Xenopus tropicalis: one gene and its partners. The protein of the gene in region 1 interacts with the protein of each later gene in a pairwise test. Links are inferred from orthologs where the notes say so. Each region holds a gene or a part of one and is shown in the gene's direction. Other genes may lie near its edges.

What was found.
Region 2: the proteins of cep57l1 (region 1) and golga2 interact in binary tests that used the Homo sapiens proteins (3 or more experiments, as listed by UniProt). The two-hybrid records come from large-scale screens. The link is inferred for Xenopus tropicalis from reciprocal best matches to the Homo sapiens genes CEP57L1 and GOLGA2.
Region 3: the proteins of cep57l1 (region 1) and rad51d interact in binary tests that used the Homo sapiens proteins (3 or more experiments, as listed by UniProt). The two-hybrid records come from large-scale screens. The link is inferred for Xenopus tropicalis from reciprocal best matches to the Homo sapiens genes CEP57L1 and RAD51D.
Region 4: the proteins of cep57l1 (region 1) and katnal1 interact in binary tests that used the Homo sapiens proteins (3 or more experiments, as listed by UniProt). The two-hybrid records come from large-scale screens. The link is inferred for Xenopus tropicalis from reciprocal best matches to the Homo sapiens genes CEP57L1 and KATNAL1.
Region 5: the proteins of cep57l1 (region 1) and mid2 interact in binary tests that used the Homo sapiens proteins (3 or more experiments, as listed by UniProt). The two-hybrid records come from large-scale screens. The link is inferred for Xenopus tropicalis from reciprocal best matches to the Homo sapiens genes CEP57L1 and MID2.
Region 6: the proteins of cep57l1 (region 1) and txlna interact in binary tests that used the Homo sapiens proteins (3 or more experiments, as listed by UniProt). The two-hybrid records come from large-scale screens. The link is inferred for Xenopus tropicalis from reciprocal best matches to the Homo sapiens genes CEP57L1 and TXLNA.

What each region holds. Positions count from the first base shown.
Region 1 is NC_030681.2:77,965,015-77,970,268, reverse strand, and holds the start of cep57l1 (centrosomal protein cep57l1), read left to right. Parts: upstream 1-1,704; 5' UTR 1,705-1,789; intron 1,790-3,183; 5' UTR 3,184-3,192; coding exon 3,193-3,367; intron 3,368-4,471; coding exon 4,472-4,651; intron 4,652-5,126; coding exon 5,127-5,248; intron 5,249-5,254. UniProt on the Homo sapiens protein: Centrosomal protein which may be required for microtubule attachment to centrosomes.
Region 2 is NC_030684.2:22,944,911-22,948,883, reverse strand, and holds the start of golga2 (golgin subfamily A member 2), read left to right. Parts: upstream 1-1,173; 5' UTR 1,174-1,309; coding exon 1,310-1,357; intron 1,358-3,973. UniProt on the Homo sapiens protein: Peripheral membrane component of the cis-Golgi stack that acts as a membrane skeleton that maintains the structure of the Golgi apparatus, and as a vesicle thether that facilitates vesicle fusion to the Golgi membrane.
Region 3 is NC_030678.2:94,393,195-94,397,927, reverse strand, and holds part of rad51d (DNA repair protein RAD51 homolog 4), read left to right. Parts: intron 1-1,007; coding exon 1,008-1,069; intron 1,070-3,604; coding exon 3,605-3,723; intron 3,724-4,733. UniProt on the Homo sapiens protein: Involved in the homologous recombination repair (HRR) pathway of double-stranded DNA breaks arising during DNA replication or induced by DNA-damaging agents. Bind to single-stranded DNA (ssDNA) and has DNA-dependent ATPase activity.
Region 4 is NC_030678.2:154,249,648-154,254,380, forward strand, and holds part of katnal1 (katanin p60 ATPase-containing subunit A-like 1), read left to right. Parts: intron 1-3,769; coding exon 3,770-3,896; intron 3,897-4,733. UniProt on the Homo sapiens protein: Regulates microtubule dynamics in Sertoli cells, a process that is essential for spermiogenesis and male fertility. Severs microtubules in an ATP-dependent manner, promoting rapid reorganization of cellular microtubule arrays.
Region 5 is NC_030684.2:40,364,593-40,369,325, reverse strand, and holds part of mid2 (probable E3 ubiquitin-protein ligase MID2), read left to right. Parts: intron 1-771; coding exon 772-879; intron 880-2,728; coding exon 2,729-2,877; intron 2,878-4,733. UniProt on the Homo sapiens protein: E3 ubiquitin ligase that plays a role in microtubule stabilization. Mediates the 'Lys-48'-linked polyubiquitination of LRRK2 to drive its localization to microtubules and its proteasomal degradation in neurons.
Region 6 is NC_030678.2:86,590,478-86,595,956, forward strand, and holds the start of txlna (alpha-taxilin), read left to right. Parts: upstream 1-2,231; 5' UTR 2,232-2,469; intron 2,470-2,848; 5' UTR 2,849-2,857; coding exon 2,858-2,984; intron 2,985-4,974; coding exon 4,975-5,271; intron 5,272-5,479. UniProt on the Homo sapiens protein: May be involved in intracellular vesicle traffic and potentially in calcium-dependent exocytosis in neuroendocrine cells.

The sequences.
Region 1 (5,254 bases):
TTTGTTGTGCACACTTGTGCAAGCTGGAGCGTGATCATTTCAGAGTGAAACCTGCCTCCCAGTTGCAGTTCTCTACACTGCAATCATTTGTCCTGCTCTCACTATTTTCCGTCAGTCCCCCAGACCATGTCAGCATTATATTCTTGTTTTCATTTTCCTCTGTTTTCCAGATCCTTCCAACTGCTTGTCTCTTCCTCATACAAACAGGGAAAGTGGAGGCGGGCTTAGCCCATGGACTGATTCCTGACAGTTTAAATCGTAGGCGGCTGTTCAGTCACCTTGTAAATGGGAACCTGAATGACAGTGCTGATACTTCCAAACATCTCAAGCAGCCCGATCAGATGACTTGTTAATAGTATGTATGAAAAGTCACAAGCAGTTGTTCATCAGAGTATGTTTTAAGAATCCAGGGTACTTTAAAGCAAATTTACACACTTTTTTTTGCATAATAATAAATACTGTAAGGAATTTCCAATAAACATTTAACATTTTCCTGGTTTTCAAAACTCTTGAATCTCCCCTGCTACCTCAAGCTCACAGGTTTACCTTGATGTTTAATTGTCCTGGGAGGAGCATTTGTGACAGGCACGGGTCAACTATAGGCACTGACGCGCATTCCTCTCCTTGCTCCTGTTTACCGGGTCAGGGGCTGAGGGTGCGCTCTGTCTTTTATCAGGCAGAAGAGGCTGCTGTCTTTATTTGTGTGCTGGGCAGTTTCACCTTTCCACCCCTAACATATATCTCTCACTTCTGGGAATCTCTGGCAGAGCACAGCATGTGCAATAGAAAACAGAGGTATCGCTGATCCGTTCATAAAATATAACAGACATTTTAAAGGGACCCTTATAAGTTTGGGAACCTTAAGCTGGCCTTGTTAATATGGCTAGAAATTCTAGTGGTACATTAATATTGTTTTGCTTACAACTGATTAAGAATAGAAGGAAATAACATAGATTAATGTACCACTGGAATGGGCCCTGTTTATAACTTTGGAAAATACACAAAACTGTTGACATGTCTGAAGTTGATATGCCCTTTATCAGTTTTATTTAGTAATTTTACTGGCATGTCTGGGGTTAATATGCCCTTTATCAATTTAATGTAGTCATACTGGCACCTTTGAAGTTAATATGTCCTTTATTCATCTGGGGCATGTAAAGTGGGTGTGGCATGCAGGGGCGTGGTCACAAAGCAGGCATGGCCAAAAAATGTTGCCGCACTACCCGCGTCACATATTTTTGTCCCTCTTTCTCTTAATGAAATGTTGGGAGGTATGCCCTAATTTGCTCAGAAACTTTTTGGTCAAACTCTCTTCTGGGGCCCCCTAACTTTCTGCTGCACAACTAACAAGTAACCCACACATATAAGAGTCAAGGTCAGAGGAAATGATTAGTCAATCTCACTCATTAACTATTGCCATATTAGCCCCTGCTTAAACAAAAACACTAGGTCCCTCAAAGTACAAAAACCTGAAATGATGACTAAAATTCTACTTAGCGCTAATTTGGACAAAAAGGCTTTCCTTTCTGGGCGATTTGGGAGAAGAGGCTTTTTTTTAGTTCCCTGGCACAAGACATGACTTCTGATAAAATGTTGGTAGCCAGGAGGCGAATGGAACAGCAGGTAACCGATACAAACATTAGTCTCTCTCTCTCAGAGCGGCTAGGGCCGCGGCGCTGCAGTTACCTGGGAGCGTGACGCCATAATCTCGCGTGATGAGACTTGAGGCGGCGGGGTTTTCAGTAAAACAGGAGGCAAGGCATTTGCCATTAACAGCTGAGCGAGAGATGTAAGTAGCGATCCGGGACTAGACTGCGTGCTGTGTTAGGAAAATCGGGAATGATAAGTGGGACAGTCGGGCGGTATGCACTTAATTGGGTTAGCCTGACTTCAGAGACCCAGACTTCGGAAGATTGGTTGCTTGCTATGTTGCATGCATGGGCTTTGCTCTACACAGCTTTCAGTACTGCTCGTTTTGGCATTGGAAGTTTTAGTTTCTGTAGAGTTGCACAGAGCTTTCCCCTCAGCCTATCCAATTTTCATCCAACTTTACCTGGACTAAAACTTCTGTGACAAAACAAGGGGTACAAAAAGCTGTTAAGGGGAAAGAACACTTTAGGGGTATATTTATCATGATGTGTAAAAAGTGGAGTAAAACATTACCGGTGATGTTGCTCATAGCAGCCAATCCGATGCTTTGGTTTTCTAACTGTTGAAATCTTATTGCTGATTGGTTGCCCTGGGCAACATCACCAGTAATGCTTCACTCCACTTTTTATACAGCATGATAAATATACTCCATAGACACCCTAACAACCACCCTTCCTTTCAAAGTCTGCAGCTCACTGACAGCAGGTTAAGTGCTGCACAGCTGGGCAATGACACATGATGAGATTAGTCACCCCGTGATTAATCTTCTCCAGTGGTGGCGGCTAGTCTCCTCTGAATGCTTTCCTACTGGCGACAGAGTCGGAACTAGGTGGAGACAGAAAAGGCACCTGCCTAGGGTGCAACAACGGGGGTAGCCAGGTAGTTACCTCTTCTGCCTACCCCTAGTCCATGCAGCCATGCTCTCTCACCCCTGCAGCTAGTCACTGCGTGTTCTCAAGTATGCCGGGTGAGTGCTGGGGTGAAGAGGCTGGCCGGGTTGCCTAGGGCGTCCGTATGGCTTGGTCCACCCCTGACGGTTTATAATGTAAATCGCCAGTAGGAAAACATGCGTTGCTCCTGCTTCAGAAGTTGCCTCGCGAGGAAACTGCCCAACATCAGAAAGCCAAAGCGAAACATAAATACGATTTACACCAGTAGAAAAGCATTCAGAGGAGATTAGTTGCCACTGCTAGAGGAGGTCAATCACTGGGGGGTATATGACTTACGAAGCCGTTCAGCTTTACATAGGTGGGTTACATTTTTTTTTTAATAATACATTTCATTGAGTCATAACTAATTGCAGATTAATACTGATGATGTACCATTTATAATATATTTTAAAGGGCATTCAATCAGAATCACATCTTTATTGACATGTTGTTAGGGACCACAAGAAAAAGTGCCTGATCAAATGCAAAAAAAAAAAAAATCGGTGATTTCATAGGTATAAAATGGTGATTTTTATTTTACTGTAATTTGATTGTATCTTTTCTCTTTTCCTTAACTGCATATGTGTTTATATTCTCCTCATAGCTTCTTAGGATGGAATCGCTGTCAAAGGAAAGTTACCTTTCAAGTTTTCACCAGTTTCCTTCGTATGCTCCTTTGCCTGACCATATCAAATTTGAATCTGTATCATCCAAGAAAATACAGTGTTCTGCACTGGAAAACATCAGTCCTCATCAGTATGACATTCTTCAAGCACCAAACAGTAGAGGTGATGTAAACTTACTGCTCTAAAAGAGTATTTGGTATCCTAAGCATGAAACATGAGAGACATTTATTGGTATAATTCCACAGACAATGAATGTCAAAAATACATAATTGTTTCCAAACTACTAATTGGTACATAGCACAAGCCCTGTGAAGAGGTTGAGAGGGTAACCCTAGATAATCTTCACTACCTTCTGGAGCACTAAAACATTATTTTGCCCAGTCCTGCGCTTAAGGGCAAATGCCCATACCTGGTGCACTCTTACCTTCCAACTTGTGCCTGTATGTTACCCAACCACTTAGATTGTAAGCTCTACAGGGCAGGGACCCCCTTCCTACTGTGTCTCATACCACATGGCACTTATATATTTATTTATTTATTGTATTTATTTATTATATCACTGTGTCCTCCCTGTGTGTAATTTTGTATTCTGTAAGATTGTACAGCGATGCGTACCCTTGTGGCGCTTTATAAATAAAGTTATACATACATACGTACAAACTCAACCTTCTGGCAAACAACTTGGTATTAGAGACCAAGTATATTCCTTGTTACTGTTTATTTTTTCTTTCTTAATTGGCTTATGTACAAAGTGTTTTTTTTCCTATAATACACAACTATACATTGGCTGGGCACACAACAATCCACAAACTATACCACTGAAAGGACTGTTTCTTCAACAAAATATGGACCTTTAAGTCACGTAGTTAGCGTAAGCTTAGGCAACTGGATTAATGTACGATGATACTATGTAAATGGTATTGACATTTGCACTGAACAATATACATGGAGTTTGGTATGCACTGCACAACTATTGATCAAATAAAATAAAAATACTTAAAAAAAAAAAAAATTTGCATCCTCAAGAAAAGCAATTGACTATAAAAGGTGCAGCCACTGTAGCTATATGAGTGCTGTATTTCTTCCAAGTATTTAAATAGCTAGAATGCCCCAGGCATTATAAATGTTTTTTTTCCTGGGGAATCAGGGCAGATACATTTACTACGCATCTCTATGTTTGGGCCTGTTTTTTTGCTAGTTTATTTAAATAACAAACAAAATTACATTTTTTTAATAATTGAATCATTTTGTTGTCATACCAATCAGCTCTAATTTCTGCACTGAAGACTCTTCAAGAGAAAATATGTCGACTAGAACTGGAAAAAACTCATGCTCGTGATCGTTTAACAAACTTGACTAGAGTAGCTGGTGAGCACAAAAAGGTTCTGGAGTCTGAGAAACAGTCTGCAGAATTGGCTGCAAAGGAAGCCACAAACCAACAAAATGGTAATGTGGCCCATATCTATTTAACAAGAGTTTTCACCGCTCAGCAGTACAGTTTTGTATTTTGGTAGGAAGTATGTATATTTTTATTCATATAACACTACTTGTGTATGCAACGCTGTATAGTAGATATACAGTATAACTATGTTGCAAACCACAAATAGTCAACATTTGGGAACCACTGCTCTGTTTTAAATCTTTAGAGCAGTTCAGATATATATATTTAAGGCATTGAAAGATATGCTTGGACAGTCCTTATTTTTACACTTATATGGAATACACTAGCTGTTCCTTAAAAGCATTACTTAAAAGGATTCATAAACCAAAATTCACTGTGATAAAACCTTTTCTGCCTGACCTTTTGCCCCCTCACAGTGAATTTGGGTTCTCTTGTCTTTTGATGAAACATTTGCATTGGCTGTATTTCCAAGTTTTAGCCATTAATTTGCTCAAAATTCCATTTCTTTTCTTGACCTAGATATTGGCAAGCAGCTAAATAATGCCAAGCAGCGGTGCTCATTACTTGAGAAACAGCTAGATTACATGAAAGAAATGATGGAGAATGCTGATACACAAAAGACCACAATTCATGAGCATCAGGTAAGG
Region 2 (3,973 bases), on another chromosome or scaffold:
ACATATAAGCAAAATTATCCTTGATTTTGCTTTCTAGGAAACTTTTCTTTTCTTTTTATAGTTTATCCACTGGGCATAGTTAGTTAATTTGTTTTTGTTTTGTTTTTCTCTATTTTATTTCTCTGTAAGCATTCAATTTCTTCATTTCTTATCTTTTTGAAGGACAGACTGTCGAATGTGACTATTGTTGTTCAACCTATATTTAAATCATTTGTCATTATTCATCCTAGAGGTTTTATGCAAAAATTCAATAAAATAAAAAAAAAAGAAGGAAAATTACTACATGGCTGCTTCCACATGCCCTGTATTGCTATGTGAAGCAAGCTGGAGGCAGGAAGTGCCATAGCATGTGGGTAGGTGGTAGGGAAGGGATAAGTGGGAGCCAGCAGTACTTAATAGAAAGTAGCTCTTGGCCTGGGACTGTTTAGTCTTTCAGCCATCACATCTACAGAGAGACATGTACAGTATTCAACCCAAAATTGCAGGACATGCAGAAAGATTAATGAATTCTTGACGATTTATGTTATTGTATTTGTGTTTATGTATTATCTGAGAGTCTCCAGTATCTGGCGCAAAACCGTGTGCCTGATTTCACCTGGCACAATTATGCTGGAATTTTGGAAAGGAATGTTTCATTGTGTTTAAAAATCATGGGGAATGGTGCCAGTTTTTTGCATATTTATACCTTTAGAAAATGAACCTTAGTAATTCCAAATTTAGCACCTGGAAAAGAAAGAAGAAAAATATGATATACGATGTAACTTGTCCATTGTTTTTGATATGTCTGTATTTTCCCATGAGCTCAGTTTGCATGTGCACCTAGGCCTCTGACACCCACTGGGTAGAATAACTGCATAATGTCTATTATATTCACAGTTTTTCCAGCTGCAGTGATGAATTACCTGATACATTCACCCCTCATTAACATTATAATTGCATTCTAGTAACATGGCAGTGTCAGACCACTTTTCCTGTTAGGTCCCGCTGCTAAGCAAATAATCTGCATTCTCTTGCTTGATGTGTGAAATCGCCAACATAAACATTAACAACATTATTAAAAAAAAAAAAAAGCATTTTATTTGAAATGATTAAATAAACGGTCAGAGATTTTAAAAAAGAAAAAAGAAAAAGAAGTGCAGCTCTCATGAGGGAAAGGAACTTCCTGGCTCCTCCTACCCCCTTGTACAGCTGGCAGTGACGTCAGCGAGTGCGCGTTCTCGCATCCCCAGCAAGTGCGGGGCGCTGTGGGGGCGCGCTGGCGCGGTGCATTGTGGATACGCGGTGACGTGTTCCCCCGGCCGGACCCAGGATGGCAGACGAGAGCAGGCAGAACAAGCTGGCGTCGGCCCGGCGGAAGGTAAACTGTGCGGACACGGGGGCCGGGGAATGTGTAAGCCTGCTGTTGGTTTCGCTGTAGGACGGCCGTGGCGCAGTTGCCATACCCTAGTGTTAGCCAGCCAAGTTAAGGAGTCATAGGCCGGAGATGACAGGCAAGAGGGAGTGTAATGGCTCATAGTGTGTGGGGGCAGTTAGTATATAGGTAGGAAAGGGGGGCATTACGTAGGGATGGGCAGCTGGCATGCCAGAGTATGGGAGGGGGAGACATGCCAGTGCATGGGGTCTGACTAGTGACTGCTCACACTGCTGGGCATATTCAGCCTGGGGCCCTGCTCTGCTTGTTACACTACTGTGTCAGCACCCCCAGCCTTTATTGCCTGGCAGTGCTTGCTGGGACTTGTAGTCCTGCTGAGATATCTGTGGTGTGAGGGTTTATTGCTGTCATCTTACCCTGCCCCCCATTATATATATGTGTGTGTGTGTACCCTATATAGGTATGTATGCACACAAACTGAATAGAATGTTTGTATTTATAAGAGCTGCCCTGTGTCCTTTCTATTCCTGGGGCACCTAGCAGCCACAGGGGCTACTTCCTTGGGGGGCAGGTGGTGGGGGCAGACTGGGAATTGTATGTCAGCAGTAGCAGCAGCGTGATTAAGCTCCTTGAAGACCATGTTTATCTGCCCATATATGCGCCAGGTGGGCCTGCATTGACCTCCATCATGATGTGATGATTGGCACAGAGGCCAAATGATAGGACGGCGCCATTTGCTCACCTCAGCCAAAGATTTGCTTGTTTCTCTACCTCACCCAACAAACGCATCTATAAATCCTGCAGCTGACAGCAAAGCTTTGCGTTGAAGTAATTATGGTACATATTGCTTCGCTTTTGGTATTTCGAACAGGAGCTTAGCGGTATTATTACACATAGGGGATCTCCATACAGTTCCACTCTGCATAATGGAAGAAAAAAGAAGAATAAGCAACGTCCCAAAATACATTCATTAAGAAATGTCAAGGGCAAGAAAGTGTTATTCCCTGGCTGGTGCCTGTTTGGCAATTACACGTCCAAATACCCAGAAAACCACAGGATTTTTTACAGTCACGAATAATGGAAAGTTGCTTAGAATGACAGTTTTATATAGTGCAAGAAATATATATATATATATATATATATATATATATATATATATGTATATATATATATATATATATATGTATATATATATATATATATATATATATATATGTATATATATATATGTTTTATTTTGGCAGGGTTCCCCTATAAGCTAAGGCAAACGTTCATGTTTTAGTGTTATCAAAGGGACCTGTAGTCAACTGGACCATAGCGTCCTGTTCCTTGCAATGTTCTTATAACCCGCACTGTCATTCTTGTTGTCCTTATCTGTGTACATTTGGGATCAGACCTATGTGTGCTGTGCAGGTTGACCCAAAACCTGTGGGTCCGGCAGATTTGGGCTGACATTCCCACAACATTTATGTGTCGTGGGCAGTTTCAGTCTGTGCTCTTCCTTTTGCCCTTTACATTTGCAACCTTATTTTGCCTACTTCCGCCTCTAGGGGCAGGTGCAGGTCTATCATTTATTTTTCTCTTGTCCTCAGCAAAGCAGATGCTTCAGACATCTCAGTAAGAGCTGGCTATTATTATGGGATATGATAATATATACATCAATACTACTACAACCAATTTATCATTTAAAAACACCACACAGATGATAAGAGAGAGTAGGTGTGTCTGTTTCTTAGTTGAGGGGAGGCGTTGCGGCTGGCATATGGCCACTTGTATACTAGAAAGTAAGGCTAGAAATAAAATAAATGCGGGTGCAGGGAGAAAGATGTTATTCTGGAGGCTTTTAGAGTAATTTTATGGGATTTTAAAACAAAAGGGCCAACAGGCCAAGAATCAACCACTACAATCCAATCAGCATTTAGATATGCCCACACCCTGAGCCACTGTATCGCCAAGGTGCACACAGCGGATTTCAGTGCTGAAACACGTGAGTATGCATTTCTGCACATTTTATAACTTATAATGTAGAGTTAGCGGGATGCAACCTGGATCCAAAAGCTGCGTTTATCCCTACCCTGTGGCACTCACCCATTCAAAGCAAAGTTTGGCCTCAACACAACCTTCCTGCTACTGTTCCCAGTCCAGGCAAGAAAGAACCTGCAATGTTGCACTAGGGAGTTTATTCATTTTTGAGGGAAGAGGAAGATGGGACAGACCTGCGGGATTCTAATGTGGGGCAATGTGGGGGTGCTGACAGGTCACAGAAAGGAAGGAGGACAGAGTTGACATGAAGGGGAAGGTAACTGATAAGACCAGAGAGTAATCGGATGCAAAAAAAGTATGACGGGCATTAGGAATGCTGGAATGTTGCAGTACAATAAGGCTGTTGTTCTCTATAGAAGAGCCGGGGCCTTGCAGAGCCATAGCTAGAGCTTTCCATGTCCCTCTCCTGTTCAACTACCAGTGTTGGATTTGTCACTTTAGTACCAAATGTCTGATATAGAACAAAAAGCTGGATCCTGTTGTGGGGCCAAACATCTCTGCTTTTTGGCACTTAGCAGGGAGGATGCCCACTGTCTGAAATGGCATATATTTCCCAAT
Region 3 (4,733 bases), on another chromosome or scaffold:
TGCTGTCGTCCCTATGTTTGTAATTGTCCCAGGCTTCACTCTTAACAATGTCAAGCTAAACTGTGTTCTGCTAACTCTACCCCCAGTTTCATTTATTTCAAGGGCTGTCACTAGATCATGAATATAGAGCAGCAAAAGTGCCTTTTTGCAGAAGAGTAGGTCTCGAAATCTAAGCTGACTCTTCTGTTGGAACATTAAAGAAAATTTGTTTTCCATGCTATAAAACAACTTTACTAGGTGATTTTTCTGGAAATGTTTATCACAGATATAGCAGAAATTCATAGGGTTGGACCATAATATTATCTGCGGTTTACAAAATAAAGGGATACAATTATAAGGCTTAACCCTTTACACGCACAAACAAATATTTCACCAGAAAAGATGCACAGTTACAATTGCATATTATTAGGAGACAACAGGTGGAATGCCCTGCTCACAAGAGCTTACGATTTAAGAAGTGAAATCTTTTAGCTTCTTCTTCTGGTTTGAACTGTTTGCTTACTTACATTTATCATTGATTAGTTATTCTGGAATAATGGTAGACTTCTTAACCTATGTTATTACCTTATTTAGATATGGTAGGTTTGGTTCAATGCAGCCTACATGGGGCACATATTAAATGATATTGGAGTGGTTGTCACATTCTTTTTCGCATACACACAAGCAAACACTCAGATAAGCACAGTCTCACACAATCCTAGACATTATGCACACAATGTAAAATGATTTACATTATATTGTTTAGACTGTCAATTATATATTTAATTGGTTTTGTAACTTTTGTACCCTGCATATTGTCTAACTGTAATTGTGTACAAACAAAAAGACTAGAAATTAGACACATATTAATACCTGTAGACTCTTATTTTTACACCCAGCTTGTTAACATTACAAACTGTTCTTTATTTAATGGAAAACTTTAACATAACTAATACTAAACAATATAAATGATGGAGTTCAATAAGCCAGTCTTGATATTTTTATAATACTTTGTCTCTAACTTTTAGTCATTGATCTGGTTGCTTCTGATTTGGAAGAGCTTGCACGAAAATGCTCCCTGTCATACAAGGTGGTGTATATTTTTTCTTTAAAATTCTCTTAGATTTTGTTTGATTTGCTTATCTAATCTGCATATCTTATTACAAAAATGCAGACTGCTATGTCTCTAAGTAAAATTGCCTGACAGGTACTTGCATGAGTTAATTTAGTTAATTGCCAGAGAAGTCAATGGGGACAATTTGAACAGATTGTAAAGCCTTAGGCAAATTAATTGTAGGGGTATGCTACAGACCTCTTGTGTAAAGGTGCCCATACACCTTAAGATCCGCTCTCTTGGCGATGTCGCCAAGCGAGCGGATCTTCACCCGATATCCCCCACCTACGGGTGGGCGATATCGGGAGAATCCAGGCTAATTCGATCATTTGGCCCTGGGGCCAAATGATCCAATTATTACGGCGGGTATAGGCAAAGTTGGATCCGACTAGATTTTTTAACCTGCCTGACCGAGATCTGCCCGATTTCAGGCCAGATATATAGTGCTCATACACGGGCCGATTAGCTGCCGAATCAGTCTAAAGGGACTGATATCGGCAGCTAGAATCGGACCTTAAGTGAAGAGGCTAAGCTGCTGTTGCAGATATAAAAGGCTGCTAGTTTGGGGCATGAAATGATAACGGGAGAGTTTAACTACCTAGATGTTGACTGGGGCAACAGTACTGTCAGGACAGTTAATGAAAACAAGTTTATAAACTTCTTAATTTACCATTTTATGTAACAGATTGTTAGGATGAAACTGGGAATCATGTTATAATGGGTCTAATGATCTCTAACAACCCAGAACATATAGCAAATGTACAAGTAATATAAACTCTGAGGACCATAACGTTACATCATTTAAAGGGGACCTGTCACCCTAAGAAATAATTACAAATTGTTTTCTATTGTGTTTATCAAGCAAAATAAACTTCAATTACACTTTATAAATTATTTTAAACTTATTTCCTTCAGCACTGGAATTCACAATTGCAGAAAACAGGCAGGCTCCATTTTGTGGACACTGTTATTAAGGCAAGCTGTGTATCCTGCTAAAATCTTGTTTCTGTGCCAGTATGGGGGGACCTGATACATATATCTATGCATTGGTTACACAATTAGATGGTGAGGAGGGAGGGGGAATGTGAGGAGTGCAGTGATATCTAAGAAGTTCTGAATTGAAAGTGAAAGTAACTGTCTGCCCCACCCCTATGCCTAAGGCATAGAGGTGGGTCAGGCAATATATGATTGACAGCTGGGGCTTTAAAATGCTTATATAATGGGTATAGATGTGTTAATAAAAAAATGACTTTGGGTTACGTGTAATTTGAAAAGGGCTTTTATTATACAGCTTTTTATGTCTGGGTGACAGGTCCACTTTAATGTTTATTGCAAAAAATAAATATACATTAGGTCAACAAACACATTAAGATCAGTACCTCAGTGCATAGTTTTATGCTAAAAACTAAGTAATGGTTTTCATTTAAAATGCTGCTAAATCTTTCCTGTTTACTCTTACACAGTAAGAGTATTAAGGACCACCCTATATGGCTTTAATCAGAAGTACGGAAGCTAGTAGGAATAGGTCAGAGGGCAACAATGCTTCTTTTAAAAAATATAACAATTCAACAATTGTTGAAAAACAACAATCAAAAAAGGTAAAGAAAACCAATAAGGGACTGACCAAATTTCAAAGACCAATCCCATACAGGTTAAGACTGGGGCTTCATTAAAAATAGTAATAATTTGGGTAGAAAGGCATAATCAGTTCTTTTTTTCAGTGTATGCGATAGAGAAGTCAGAGTTTCAAGACCCACTTGGCAGAAGTATAAATGGCTCCTAAATTACAGTGTTACTATGTGGACTACTTTGTCTGGCGTCTATTATTGCAGTATTCCTAGATCTACAGTAATTGCTTGCCTTTAACAAGATTCTGTACTAAAAGGTTGCATTAGACTGGGGCCATTAACTAACTGTCAGATTTTTTTTTCCATTTAGACTTTTAGTGCTAAAATTTGCAGGTAAAAAGTTTGTGATTTTCCAAGATTTACTATGCGTCAAAACGGCTAAAAATCTAAATCTAGCAATTCACTAGCTAAAACTTGCCAAGATCATGTAGTCAATGGCATATGTCCCTTCCCTGGATGATCCTTCTTTTGCTTTGAAAGTTTAAAAGTTTGGGATTTTTGATGCTGTTTTTTTGTTTGACAATTTGAAAAAGTTGCAGTATTCATAGGACAAGTCGAAATATTGGGAATTTTCATGACTCTTCTGCAACTTTTCCAATGCAAACTTTTTCAGTTCAGACTTTTTAGAAATGTAAGACAGTGAAAATAAGTTTATTCAAATTTGAAAAAAATGAGGAATGTTAAAGTAAATCTGCCCCCTAGAGCTAAGCAATTATATAATCACAAAGTAATTTGTCCTACACTTCATATACCATGTGTTTTTTTTCCCTTTGTGATGGTTTGCGGGCAAATTGGAAACTTCCAGCTTCTCACCTTAATTAAAGGGAACTAAAAAGAGTCACTCTATTTTAAAAGTGTGTTTAGAATTGTACTGTATTTTCAGACATTAATGGCAGTGAGGCGTGTTCTTCTGGCACAGTACTCTGCATTTCCCTCCAGTGGAGCTGATGTGTATGAAGAGCTTAAGAGTTCCACAGCCATCCTACCCACAGGCAACAGAAAGTAAGATTATGTTCATCTCATAAGCAAAAATGATTAGAAAAGTGTAGTGTCACATTGCTTTGTGCTGAATCTCAAAGCTGCTTATTTTACTAATCCTAAAAAGGTACTAACCATGATCAGTCTTTTGCAGGTCTGTGGTGGGAATGTCTGAACGTCTCACAAATCCTCACAAAAAATAAGATTAAAAAAAAGACTAGCACACACAATACTGAACTAAGTGTGTTTTAACCAGTTTATAAAGTAACAAAAAATTATCATACAAAATTAAGCCTATGACGCACCTGAATTTTTACTGCTATGATGGTCTGAGTATTTGCTTCCCATTCATGAAAGTAAACATCTGTCATAACATTGTCTTTGTAAGGGTTAATCTCTTTAACTCTGTCTGTGCTTCTGTGCACTGTATCTAAGCAGTCACGAACCGGTTCGATTTAATCTGTGCGTCGGCGAAACATCTGATATCATCTGTGCATGTGCGCTGATCAGGGAACTTGTACAAACGATACAACCAGTATGTGTATTGCAAACAAGTTCAACTTTATTTTGTTTTGTTATTACATTTATAGTTGATAGGTAAACACATCCCATTATGCTTACGTAGCATGGGTGGGCACATATGCCTTACAGTTATTAGCAAATAAGAGAAATTCATTAAAATGGCTACTGAAGCTTATTATGATTTCTTAGCCTTGAAAATTAGCCGAGATAATCAAGGCCGGAGCAACTTGGACAGACAAGATAGTGAGGATAATCATAACAACTGAAGTAATACATACACAGGCCTTCATGATTGAAAACAAAATTGTGTAAATTCAGCATTTAGCAATTTAAACCCTATCAGTCTTTGCATGTTATTTACAATTTTGCCTTAAAAGTATTTGCCTGATGATTTTACCTTACTTATCTGATCCCCCATGTTCCTCTATGAGGGGGCTGCCATATTTGTGCAGCAGTATTTTGTTAGCATTAGACACTATCAGTGACAGGTTGAGAAGGGACCGTCAGGTTGG
Region 4 (4,733 bases), on another chromosome or scaffold:
CCACTCTCCAGTTTGGTATTTAAGCAGCTATCTGATTGCTAGGGTGCAAGCAATTTACTCTAGCAACCAGGCAGAGGTTTGTACAAGAGTTGGGCATATGAATAGAGGAGGGTCTGCATAGAAAGATTAGTGATAAAAAGTAACAATAGCAATAACATTGTACATCATGGAGCAATAGTTTTTAGATGCTGGGGTCAGTGACCCCCATTTGAGGCTGGAAAGAGTCAGAAGGGGAAGGCAAATACGGTAATCAAAAATCTGTAAAAAGTAAATAAAGAAAACCAAATGCAATGTCGCTAGGAATGTGGCATTCTATACCAAACTAAACGGGGTGAGCCACCCCTTTAAAGGAGAAGGAAAGGCGAAGTCACTTGGGGGTCCCAAAATGTTAGGCACCCTCAAGTCACTTAAATCGCTTACATTTTACCCCGGGCTGGTGCCTCTGTTCCGAGAGAACAGCACCAGCCCGGGGCACCTGTAGCGATGCGCTTCCTCCTTCCTGCTTCGCTCGCGCTCATGCGCAGTAGAGTGAAAAAGCTGAACTTAAACTATAAAGTCGGCTTTTCACTCTACTGCGCATGTGATTGCCCCGGGAATTTGCCGGCAAAACAAGCAGGAAGGAGGAAGCGCATCGCTACAGCTACCCCGGGCTGGTGTGGTTTTCTCTTAACAGGGGCACCAGCCTGGGGGACAAGGTAAGCGATTAAAGTCACTTGGGGGTGCCTAAAATTTTGGCACCCCCCAAGTGACTTAGCCTTTCCTTGTCCTTTAAGGTCACACTTAGGTGGTGTTTGGCACGACCACCTGGAGGATTGATAGGAGAGGGCTGGAAGAGAAGTAATATAAATAAGTAATATAAATAATATTAATTTAAAGTTAATTGTAAGCTCCTGCTGCCAGTTCTAGATTATTAACATTCTAATGGCCACTGCCACATTAGTGCCGTACGGAAACAACAAGTAAATGAAAACAATTCCCAACAAGTACTCACGCCCCTGACAAACTTTTAGACTGCAGTGCGACAGTGGAAACGACCAAGCAGGTGAAATTAAACATTGAAATGGAATTGTCGCCCCAAGAGAATCTCTGTTACTATTTTGCTGTGTTTTACTACGGATGCTTTAAAATAATTGAATCCAATTCTGATTCAGTGACATATTTACTGGCACGTCAATGGGCTGTTAAGCAGAGCATCAATCCAAGATGAGCTGAAACAACCGAAGACAATTAAGTTGCAATGATAAAACCCCAGGCACATAAGTTGGTGATTTTTTACTCAAAGGCCAGGATCATTGTGATTCATTGAGAGTCGGACATTGTGACTAAACTGTCTAGACTTCAGCTGCATCAGAATGCAACAGCCTGAGCCCTTGTGTTACGTGTGTGTGCCACCATGCCTGTACCCAGTATGTAATGCAGCCTGCCAGGATCATGCTTAATGCCGTATAAGAACTTGGTTAATAGAGATCTGTCTTGATTGTGATGATTTTAACACTTTAAGCTCTAAATTGAATTAAGTGTTCAGGTATAGGATCTGTTATCTGTAATGCTTGGGAGCTGGGTTACCCAGATATGGGATCTTTCCATAATTTTAAATACCATACCATATAATTTCAATATTAGATAAACCCAATATGGATTCAGCTTAGTTTCCATCAGCTGCAAGGTTCTTAGACAGCAACAATGTTTGCTTAAATAGGCATTCATACTGCATTGTATATGTCACAACTTTCTGGAAAATGGGTTTCAAGGTAATATAACCCATACCTGTACATTAATAGATATATGTAGTATTTGTGTGTCTAATTGTGTGCAAGTTTATTACATGCTTCTGGAGGTACCAGAACAGTTTCTAAGCTGGCTAGGCTCAGGGATTCATATCTGATAGCATTCTCTCCCTCTAGCAGAAGGCTGCTATACATTGGCCGATCCTGTACTGTATCTGATTAATTGTCCCCTTGGGCCAAACAGACAGATACTGTGCTAGGTGCCATAGGTAGAATGGCTCACTACATTTGCATTCTTTTACCCTGTACCTTTGGCCTGCTTTAGGGCAGAGGCACACAGGGTATTTTGCCCCTTGCACTTAGGGGCTCAAGCATCTGCCCCTTAATCTTTTTCAGCACAGGTGGCAAAACATCTAAAGTTCCCTTCATGCAGAATGCAGAACGCATGAATAAAGAATGCACCTTAGGCCTTAAGGTGGCCATACATGGTAAGATTCGCTCGTTTGGCAAGGTCCCCAAACAGGAAAATCTTTCCCCCGATATGCCCACCTAGGGCCAAACAATCGCATTGTAGGGTATATGAAAAGTCACATGAGGACCGCATCAAAATGTGGTCCCTGATCCGACTAAAAAAATCAAACCTGTGTGATCGATAACTGGCTGATTTTTGGCCAGATATCGGTTGGGCAGGGTAGTCAGGGGTTCCCATACATGGGCAGATAAGCTGCTGAATGGGTCTAAATGACTCAAATTGCAGCTGCAATCGGCCCCTGTATAGCCACCTTTAACCCTGTAAATGCTGAGCGCCAGCAGTAATCCCCTTATCTATTTGTTGTGCAGGTTTATTGGCACCTACAGATATATTTAGTTGTTCTGCTGAAAGCAGGCCTTTATTTTTAATGGCACTTTTGGCATTTTCTCTGCTGGAACAGATAATGCTGGTGGAGAAAATGCTGGTCAGCTCCTTTCTACCTTGTCAGCACACACACAAGCGTATGTATGGAAACACAAAAGGATGTGTTTATGTAGCAATATGGCCGTGTTTGTGCTGGCAGACTGATCCCATGCATACACAGAAAGACAGTAGCGGATCAGCCTTTTCTCCGCTGTCGTAGACGCGGCACTTGTGACACCGCCTTAACTCTTCAGGTGGCTCCCTTTTAACCAAGCCTTTTCCTATTGATTGACAAGATTGAGAATCTGTTTTTTTAATAAAATATATTTAGTATTTATATTTTCATTTTGGATTTTGAAACAAACACAAATGTGGTAAAGATAAATATTTCAGCACATTCCCTTTCAGTTGACAGTGACATTTTCGGTGGATTGGTAGCACGCGAGTAGCTGCGGGATGTAGGACACCGCTGGTTTCCATAGGCAGCACATTACTTTTAACTGGCCAGACGCAAGTCATTAGGACAGTTATTATTAATTCTGCTTCCCATAATATTCCTGCAGTTCAAGGACATTTACTAGCAGACAGGAATAAAAGTATAAATTATGGAAGCTCAATGTACTTTCCTCCACCTGGGACAATTACATGCAGGGAACAGACTGCATGGCCAATGAGTGTCTGAGCCGCACAGGCTTGTTCTTAAGTGTCTTTAATGTAACCAATATCCTCTGAAGGACCTAATGTATCGAGGAAATTATGATGACATTGTCTTGTAACCGTATATAACATTAATCACAGATTTAAAAGGGACATCTGCATTGAAATACTGTACGAGTAGTTATTTGATTGAGCAGCCATAAATCCGGGTTTATATTGCTGATACTGCCATAGGAATTTAACCACTGCTACCTTTCATTGCTCCAGATAAAATCCCTTCTGCTCTGTCAGTTGGCTTGTGTTAAAAACCTGACATTGCTCTCCACCGATGATACATGCCAGCTAACATTTAATTTAATTATGTTTCCAATACACAAATACGGGATGATTGGCTGAGAGAATGACAGGCAGTCCCCTGATTGATCTGGTTACACTGTTGGGCTTCTAGTTGGATATGTTGACATGTAACATTCTGGCTGTGTTTTCCCAGCTAATGGAAGGGCAGAGCTGCTGAAAATAAATCTACGGGAAGTAGAGTTGGAGCCGAGCGTCGACCTTGAAGTTATTGCTCAGAAGATTGAAGGCTATTCCGGAGCAGATATAACCAATGTTTGCAGGTACAGTGGCTGAAATGGGAAAGGGACTATGTCAACAAAGCCTCTCAGTCTAGTTTAAAGAATTAAGAACTAAGCCCTAAAAATGAATATGGCTATAAAAGCCATATTTTATATCCTGAACTTACTGTCCAGCCTAAAGTTTCAGCATCTTTATAGTAGCAATGATCCAATCCCTTAAACTTGTCACTGGAGCTCCCCATCTTGGATTTTGTTAGGAGTGTCAGTGACACTGAACATGCTCAGTGTGTTCTAAGCAGCTGTTGGGAAGCTAAGCTTAGGGGTTCTTACAAATTATCCAGCAGAAAATGAGGTTTGCCTTTAATATAAACAGATTCTTCAGGACTGGTTTCAGAGCTGCCATGTAGTAGTTATCTATATGAATTACTAATTGTGAGTGGGTCCCTAAGCTCAGGTAAGTGACAGCAGCACAGAACATGTGCAGGGAATCAGCAGAAAAGAAGATGGGGGGCTACTGGGCATCTTTGGGGGCACAGATCTTCCCTGCTAAAGGGCTGTGGTTGCCTTGGGCTGGTACTGAAGCCCAACACATAATGTACACATATCTGACCTAGTTCTTTAGTTAAGCTTTAGTTCTCCTTTAAATAAAACTGCATGCATTAACCTACACCAACAGCACATTACACTTATTGTTTAGCCCCTTCCCACCAATCAATTCCCTGCTGTTTGTGTAGGTACCTATCTGCAATTAGATGTTTGTAGTTGGCACATACTGCAATAAAGGCATACCCCGGGCACATGTCAAGGAGTAAGACACACATAAACAGACATACACAGGGAAAATCATAAATACATTAATGCTGTTTGTTATAGATTGTG
Region 5 (4,733 bases), on another chromosome or scaffold:
GATTGGGATAAAATACAATACAATATCTGTTGTTTTTTCCATCACATGTTTAATCTGGAGGCAAGTTAGTGATTTTATCCTATATTCTTGTTCTGCAAATATCACAATACATGTATCCATTTTTCTATTCCAAAAAGAGATGTATAACATTGGCAGATCCATATCTTCTATGTAGTAAGTCAGAGGTTTGCATACTTTCCTTTTCGAATAATATGAATTAACATTTTAAGTCTTGTGACTGTTTGGATAGAAATACTGAATATGAAAAGACTGCAGGGGGGAAGCTTTGCTTGTCTGCCCTTCAGCATAAACGAGTTGTTTATCCCCTTTACAGTCAAGCACAGAAGCCCCATGAAAATGTTGATATATTTTAGAACAGAAAAACAGCATCTTGTTTGTGTTTGTCTTGTATAACTAATTGGACAGGAGCAGGCATCTGATAATAACAACAAACAGCAAAGTTCTTGAAATAGTACTATGTAGAAAATCCGAAAACAATGGCAGATGTGATACATCATCTTCAGCCAGTCTTAAAAACATACTTTTTTAGATAACAGAGAGACTCTGAATTTAAAATAAAGCTGCTAATGACAGGAGGTCTTACTGAGATGGAAATTATTTATTCAAGGGATATGGTGCAATTTGTCAAAGTAGAATGACTATATTAAGAATCCATTGAGCGTGCTGCTGTACAAGGTCACACCGGTCTAACAATCACAATAATCAGGGGGCATCCTGTCTGATACATTTTGGTATAATGTTGTTGTACAGGTAAACACCAGCATGCATGAAGCAAAACTGAATGAAGAATGTGACGAGCTAATGGACATCATACAGAGAAGAAAGCAAATGATAGCAGTGAAAATCAAAGAGACAAAAGTAAGAGTTCCTTTTTGTGAAATATATTTTCTTTTACTGATATGGATAGATAGGATAGAAAATATTTATATAACACTTTTCTCCTACTCAAAGTTTTAGTTATTAAAGCAGCTGATGTGTGTAAGTGCCGGAAGTGTGCCAGTAGATTAAAGAGGACATGGGGCATAAAGGTAGCCATACACAGGCATATTTAATCTGCTGATTTAGTGTCTTCAGAATGAGTCGGCAATTTATCTCATATTTGGGGCCCACCGACAGCCCTGCCCAAATAATATCTGGCAAAAAGCAGCCAGTATTTGGGTGGCCAAATTGGGCTCAGATCTGCTCTTTTGGCAACCTCACCAAAGGGGCAGATTGGTCATTTATGGCAAAATCCCCATAACCTTGTAGGCAGTGATAAATACTATATGGTGCTGATTTTAATCTGCACTAAAAAATATTATTATCTTTACCCCTTTATTTGAGATCCCCATAAATCCTCTTTCCATGTCTGAATTTTAAATAGTAGTGGGTAAGTCCTTTGCCATGTGCTTAGTAGGAGGTGGGTAGGCAATCACAGCCCTGCATTCACACAAGCAAAGATAGACCATAGTTTCCTGCCAGGTATACCTGGTTGTTGATTGGTTCCTATCTTGCAGTGCTGAGTGCCACTGGCTTCCCTGCAGAGCCTGGGAAAGCAGCTAGCAGGAAGTGGAACAGATGGGTGGAACTAGATGGATTTCAAAGGTTTCTGGGAAAATTTTCAATAAAACACTACATAACTAAACTTCTCTAAGAACACAAAAGCCTCGAATTATTTGTTTTTGTAAGAATTTGTGTGTGCTTACAAAAGAAAAAAAACACAAAGTAAATAAAGATTGTTACAATTTGCCCAGGACAAGTTCCATTGACATCTACATGTCCTTGACAGCTTTTATATGGTGTATTTATATATTTGTGTTTTTTGTGGGTTTTTTTTTTTTAAATTGTGCAGGGAAAAAAAACTACAACCTTTAGTAAATCTGTAGCAAGAAAGGGGAAGTAATGCTCAGCACTAAATTTTAAACCATTGGGGGGGTTGCAATGAGGCTGTGACCACAAAACTTATATAGACAACAACAAAAAGTCCTCTGCACTCAACAGCAAGAGGTCATCTGCTATAGGTTATACAGGAGAAGTGGTCAGCTCCCATCCTTCCCAGCTACAGTCAGGTGATCCCCTGGAGCCAATAAAAGGGCAATCATTTGGGGGTTTAACTCAGTCCATTTGTTAAATGAACAGAATAGAGTAAAATTCTTAATGAATCAGATAAAAGTGAGTGTAGCCCTGGCCAGACTAGGGAAGACTTTGATGTAATTGACGAGCTTGAAGTATTTTGCAATATATGGACAAACAATCCCTGTGAGTGCAGAGGACCTGTTGTTGTTTTCCTTAGTAAATCTGCCACGATATCCCTCTTTAAGTGATGTGTCCTAGTTCACAAAGACTTACTATTGGGATCCCATCCCAACATTACTACAAAAGTAATAGCAGCTGGGAGACCTCTACCTGGTTTGGATAGCACATTTACAGTTTTTCATTCCCAATTCAGTGGTGGGACAAGCTGGATCCATTACAGGGTTTATAGAATAAGTATTCTAGTCTCCCCATAGAACCCTATTCGGAACCCTGTGTATTTGGAGATTTGGTCTTCTAATCTGGGCATGTTCCCACCTATCCTTGGGGGCCAGGGAAACCTCTCTGTTAGCACTGTACATCTTAATACCAGAGTGCATCAGATCTGAGATGCATCTGGCTGCTCTGATCCATGTACATAATGTGCAGTAAACAGTTTAAACCTCTTCCTAATACCTGTTGTAACATCTCTAAGGTCATGAAGTTAAGAAAACTTGCTCAACAAATTGCCAATTGTCGTCAACGTCTGGAACGATCAACAGTACTAATCAACCAAACAGATCATATACTCAAGGAGAGCGATCATGCAAGGTTTCTGCAGGGAGCTAAAACTGTAGCAGAGAGGTGAGCAAACTTTTGCTTTAATGTTCTAGCCTGTCGATATACTATGTAGGGTTAAATACAGCCAGTCTGGCATTTTTTGGCATTCACCAATGGCATTGAATGTATTTGGCTTGCAGAGACTGGGAACCTCACATCCAACTATTAAAAAATATTCTAGTAAATGAATTGATGCAGCTTTTCCTATTTGTCAGACATTGCTGGCTGATAGTAGCTGTTGGCAGATTAAGTAAAAAATTAAGAAACCATTAACTCTAATTGATTGTCATGAATCCCTCCCAGTGGGGCTGAACTTTCAACCCATTAGACATTTCACAGCCATTGCCTGCATAATCATGGTCTCCTGATGCATTACTCTATTTCCTTCCATTTAGTAACAGTGTTTCTATTCTCAGCAATGTATGTTTAAAAAAACAGTCTAGTATGGTTAAAAAGCAGTCTAACCATTCTTTTATAAGTGAAAGATATTTTGTGAAATATACCTATATGAAAAAATAGAACTGATGTGTTAGTTATGTCTAATTGATGATCCAATATGACAAAAAAGTAATATAACCATATCTTGAAGGGACAACATAGTCCTCCTGCTTCACGTTGCCTGGGCCAGCTGTAAAGGTGAGCAAAGTCTTTTTGGTGATTGTTACCAGCCAAGGTTTGGTACATAGTGTACATATTGGCAATATATGAAAATGCTGTATTCATTCTTGCATTAATTAATGTAAGACTTTCTAGTATCAGATACTTATGTATTATTACAAGAAATAATTTAAAAAAAAAAATAATTTTAAAATTATTTTAGAAGTATTTGAAAAAGTATTTTTAATGTCACCTCAGAATTAAATATATGACTGCAGAACTCCTCAGCCACATTTGGGGTTGTGTTACCTCTTATATACTATAGTTCTAAAAGTTTCCAAAAGTTGTTTCATGTAAAGAAACATCCAGTTTCGATTTACAGATTTTATTCATTTTTATCCTGGTATTTATAAAACAATAATACATTTCTGAAACACTTTACAGAGACAATACTTTAGTCCCTGCTCTAGTACAGGTAATGAACCTATCACATTCACACACAGTTGAGCCTGTACATTGTGGGAAGAAACCCATGCAGACATGGGGAGAACATAGGAACTCAGATAGCGTTCTACCTAGAAGTGAACTCAGGACCCCAGTAGTGTTACTCAATGAGCCGCAATGCTACCAAAGTAGTGCTGTCAACCTTTTCAGTAGGGTCATTATTTCATATACTAGCTATGTTGGCTGCATTATATAAAAATAATGTCATACAGATACTTCTGTACCTGCCTGGTTATAATAACCCTGGAGGAATATATCTGGCCAGGGGGCCCTTAGTTAGACAGCTGCATTCGGTTTTAGGCAGCCCTGATTCAAAGAGACATACTACTGATCAAATATTAAACCTAGCATCCATAAAATATAAAGTTTGGGTAGGGAGGAGTCTCTTTCTCTTTCGTGCCTCACTTTGTATTCTGCTTCTGTATTTGAGAAAAATGTTTTTTCTAGATAGTAAAGTGCAGTTTTGGTCTCCTGTACATGGAAGTAGGAAAATCAGGAGGAGTGAAGAGTCTGGCTTTATCCTAACGCTCCCAAAACTCACACTGAGTCTGAATATTAGTGCGTGGAACAGTACTCTATTTGGGTCTAGCACTTTAAAGGGGAAGTTAACATGAAACTAAATGTTAGTATGGTATAGATTGTCCTATTTTAAGTACCTTTTCAATTGATCTTCAGTATTTATTTTGCATGCATTCCTATTTCCAGTCTGCAACTTGAAATCTCTCTTGTTTTCAGGGTAACTGACCCCAGGAACCAAAAACACACATGGACTGTTAGGG
Region 6 (5,479 bases), on another chromosome or scaffold:
ATTTGGTGTTTCTACACTTTGTTCTTTAAGTCCCCCTTTTTACATTTTTCTTTTTTTTCCTTCTTTAAAAATTGCAATGGTTACATTAGGCATTATGTGTGATCTTTCTATCACAACTGCAACATTTTTATTAAACTTGCCTCACCTAACTGTTTTGTGCATCAAACCATAAAATTATTTTCTACATCTATTGCTTCACATACATGCCTTTTGACAAATGGGCTTTGATATGGGTATTTTTTTAGCAGTGACTTCCTTCACACAGCTTTTTGAAATGCCCTGGTATTGGTTGCACCATTTTTTTTTCCATCTCGGCTGTGGATCTTTCCAATTTCTGTAGAGTTACCATTTGCCTTTTATGCCCTCTTAGTAGGTCTCAAAGCAAATAAGGGCAGTGCAGGCAGGATGTGTGACAGCAGGTGGGAGACGAAGTGGGGAGGAAATCCAAGGGCAGATGGGGAATGGAGCTGGGAGGAGGTTTTAAAAATGGAAAAAGGGGGCCTTTACATTCTCGGTGGTGGGATGGAATTTCTGGGAGATTAGTTGCAACTAATTTCCCTGTGTGCCACAGCCCTAAGTGCTTTATACAGTGGGTGTTGGCAGCGGGAACTGGCTGCATCTATATTCTCCCTTTACCTCATTCCAACCACCATTTCTTTTCAGTATTTCCTACTTCTCTTTCCTCATGCTCCCTTCTTTTTCTCTTCTGATATTTCTTTACTTCCTCTGTCTCATTTTGGTCAATATATTTTATAATCTCCAATTTGTTATGCCCTTACCTACTTTAACCTCACTTGACCTCACCTATTCCACTTTCTCTTCTGCTTTTGACTTTTTAGGCAATATTTCGCCAGCTTGGCCAGCAATAATCATACTTTCATTGCTATTCAGGGGGTATATTGTAAAAACCCTACTCCACTTTTTGTTTTTTCCCCCCACACATTTGCCTTTTATATTATGCTACTCTATCTCAACCCAACATCCACTGTATACCATTCTTCCTTTAATCATTGCAGCCCAATTCTTTTCTTCTGCATAGACCCCCACCTTTACCGTCTGATGTCCCATAACATCCAAAAATTTATTTAGAGCTTTGCCTTCAGTTAATACTAAGGTACCTTAAAAGTAGTATAAATAATGCTGTAATAATTGTAAATGTGATACCATGAAAGTATACTGTGATATGGGAAAGGAGTGCGCCAGCAGTAGTCATGAGGCCCATACTACTAAGCAGGACCCTCCCCTCCAATTATTTGCCCACTGGTCACACAGGGACCCTGCGTGGTAGGCCCCTGCCACCTACCAGCATATTTATTTTATTTTGTGCCCAAATAAAAGAAATATGCCCCTTAGCATATTAGCAGAATTTTTAATTGATTATATTTTTAAAGTTTTTTTCATTTCCATGAGATAAAACTATTACATTTTCATTATAGTTGGGCTTGGCGTGGTTTTGCTTGTGCCTGCAATTGTGTCAGGCGCAACGTCCCTATGTGAGAACAACAATGCTGGAATTCTGAGGGAAAAAAGCTGCATTTTGGAAAAACAGTGAGTTCCACAGTAAAATCGCAGTTAGCAAGGCCGCATTGAAAACAAAATGGGCCACACGTTTTTGAGTGGGTGACCCCCACTAGCAGCCCCATCTTGCTAATGTCTTTGTTGCTAGGGCCACTAGGATTTTATGAAATACTGGGGGTCAATATGTTATTAGTTATGGAAACAATGTTTGAGGTATCATTATTCTTGTGACTGACAAACTAACAATGTTAATAAAAAGAAACGGTATCAAGGGCATATTATTTCAATTTAGAAATGTTAAAAAACTTTCAATAAGCCTTTGCTTTATTTTTATAAATATAACCTGTTTAAAACGAGAAAACTATATGAACAGGGTCAAATCAAGGGTCACAGTTTAATGAATCTTAGTTATATATAACAAACGAGCGCACAAAAAGGTGGTACTCATGCGTACGACTGCGCACAAACAAGGCTTATAGGGAATTGTAGTTTTTACTTTCGCGCCTTTGCTACCGCCCTATACAGTTTCTGTTTCCTTATAATCAACAGCAGCGCCGATAAATCTTGCTTCCGAACGCAGAGGTTTCCGTTAGACCCGCCTCTGAGAGCGCATTGGCCTTTAGGCTTGTTGGAGCTGCGTGTCATTGGCTAAGAAGTGTCCGGCTTGCGGCCTGGATTTGTGCCTGTGCCTGTGGCTTCCGGCAGAGAGTGAGCGTTACCGGAGCGGATGCAAGAGTGAGGTAAATCCGGTTATTAATCGTGTCCTCCGGGAAAAGGAGTCAGCGCAACCTCACTGGCAGGGACAACAACTTTGTGTGAAACAAGTGTACAGTTCAGCGCTTACACAAGGAACAGACCAGAACTACATCATTTGTCATACTGCTGCATCGCTTGAGGTGCAGCTTCCGTGTGTAGAGCGACAAGGACAACATACAAGTTTGCTGACAACAGGTAGCATGTAGTGGCCCTGCATAAATAAAACAATTAAGAAGTATAAAATGTGGGGGGATGCAAATCTTCAGTTTAGGTGTGGAGTGCCCATTATGCAGACTAGTAGTTGCCCCAAAACCTACATTAGTAAGGGTTGTCATGGCATGGGCCGGACCTGGAGTTACTCTGCACATTGAGCTATGCATATCCAATGTGCCAGCTTATGAGTTATCTATTTCTAGGTGGTTAACTACTTGATAAGTTAGTGGTTAATGCTAACAAGGTTCATTGATTGAATTGTTTTATACCTACAAACATACAGGGTTAACTAGATTCTTAAGAAAAAAACGTGAAGTTTCTTGTTTACATGCCATACTTTGCTTCTGTTACCTTTTGTTAGAAGTGAGTCATGAAGGACCAAGAACTGGAGAATGGCACAGCCAAAGGGCCTTCCCCTACCTCATCAAGCCCCTCACTTCCTCCAGCCACAGATGAGAACGTGACTACACCTGGAGTTTGTCACCCTGCTACTGAAGGTTAGTAGTAGCATTTTTTTTATAGTGGGTGTCGGATTTTTTCAGTTCTGCCTTCCAGCATTGAAGATTCAACCTTTGGTCAAGACCTTCTTTAGTTCATTAAAGTTATCAGTCATTTAGACTATTCTCTCAAGCTCCACCCTGTAGCCTGATTTTTAAATAAGTGGTATATGTGTTTACAAAATAATAAAGTAAAAGAAAAGGAAAAGGGGAAACTAAAATGGAGGGAGGTAAAAGGGGAAACGAAAAGGTGCAATAGAAGGGAGAGAAAAGTACTTCACTAACAAATGCTGTTTATATACATGAGGGATACCATTCAACTAAGCATAACTCTTACTAGCCCTTTCCCAGGATAGCCACACCCAAAGAACAGTCACAGCTAGGTTGATGTTGTATGATGACCCATAGAATTCTCCAAGTTAGTAGTGTCCTTTAGATGATTAGTTTCCCAAATAATGGTATTAAAGGAACAGTAACGCCAAAAAATGAAAGGGTATAAAAGTAACTAAAATATAATGTGCTGCTGCCCTGCACTGGTAAAAGTTGTGTGTTTACTTCAGAAAGTCTACTATAATTTATATAAATAAGCTGCTGTGTAGCCATGGAGGCAGCCATTCAAAGGAGAAAAGGCACAGGCACATAGCAGTTAACAGATAAAACACTATTGTATTCTACAGAACTTATCTGTTATCTGCTATGAAACCTCTGCCTTTTCGCCTTTTTTCCAGCTTGAATGGCTGCCCCCGTGGCTACACAGCAGCTTATTATATAAATTATAGTAGTGTTACTGTAGCAAACACACCAGTTTTACCAGTGCAGGGCAACAGTGCATTATATTTTTATTACTTTAAAGCTCTTTCATTTTTTGGTGTTACTGTTCCTTTAAAGGTGTCATGTAGGTTACAGTGTTGTACAGACTGTGATTCTCATTCTTGAACTTTATTCCCATGGTCTAAAAACCTGTTCTACCACCTTGAGGGTATGAGCAAATTGCTATTCATTGCCTTTTCGCCCTGCTGGGCATCCTTTTGTTGTTGTTCCTTTGTTTACAGTTGTTGCCTTCACTTCATACTGGTCTGTGGGTCTCCTCCTTGTCCATCACAGGTGTATCTAATTCACACAACAGCGTTAGGAGATAGACTTAAAAAGTAACTGCATTTTATGATGTGATAGCCCTTGGTCAGCTGTTGCACTGTTCCATCTGTGTTTATATTATACACTACCCTGAGATCAGAGTCACTGTTAACGCCTTAGGGTTGTGACACACTGGAAGATTAGTCATGCGCGACTTATCTCCCCGCAATGCCATGCCACCGGCTAGAATGTAAATCGCCGGTGGGATGGCACTGCGGGGAGATTAGTCGCACCACAATAATGGAGATTTGTTACGGAGCAACTAATCTCCCCTTATGTCACAAACCTTACATGATTCATAAGTTCAGGAACAACTCTGATATGGAATATTACAAAGGCCCATATATTTCCATGTCAGACAGTCAGGTACTTGGCGCGGTCCCAGTGGTCAATCAGCCTGAGCTGATATGGGTCTAAAAGGGCAAGATAGTCAGATCTGACCCACCACACAGTGGGTTCAATAAGCAATTCTGAATTTGTGGCCTGATCTCTTTAGTGTGTACATATTTATGGCCAGGTTAGCGACTTTAACTTTAATAACTTGGAAACTTGCTAGGTGAATTTACAACACAGGTGTAGAATTAACTCCGATGTAGCAACAAGTCCTATCAGGTAGGACTTGTTTTCATTTGTTTCATTGCAGTTAACCTTTCAGAGGTATATAGTGCTTTATTAATATAGCTTACTGCTTCAGTGTAAAACTTCACCTGTATTGTGAATTCCTCTTAATTAATTCAAAATTGGTGTGAATTCTGCTTTACTTTTGGTTATTACTTTTTGGTTATTACTTTACTTGGTTATACTATCAATTTTACCGATTTAAAATCAGCTGATGTGTTGCCTGGTTGTCTTACAGTGGAAGGAGCAGCTGGTAATTCTGTTACTGTATGTGATGTGTCTGAAGAGTTAAGTAGGCAGCTGGAAGATATTCTTAGTACATATTGTGTTGATGACAAGCAAGAAGGAGCAGGAGACTCGGAGGAGACAGATAAGGGAGCCCAGGAGACACCAAAAAATGGTGATACTGAACTAGTAGTCCAAGAGGTTAATGGTGAGAAGGAGGAAATGCGGGTTTTAGAAGACAGTAGAACCATCAACGAGACTGAAAAAGATCAGAAACGAATGCAAGACAAAAAAAAGGCAAAGGGTCTGGGTAAGTTGAAACCTTTAAAGTCAAGTATGCCATACTTGCCATTACAATCCCTGACCTGAGGTATTGTTCAATATTGTTTTCCATTGTTACATAATGAGACCGTTTCAGGACCACCACAATGCGTCTGCCTCAAACAATGTGGAGAATTGTTAATCATGTCTAGTAGCTAAAGATTTCTATAGACTAGGTGTTTCCAATCCATTTCTCA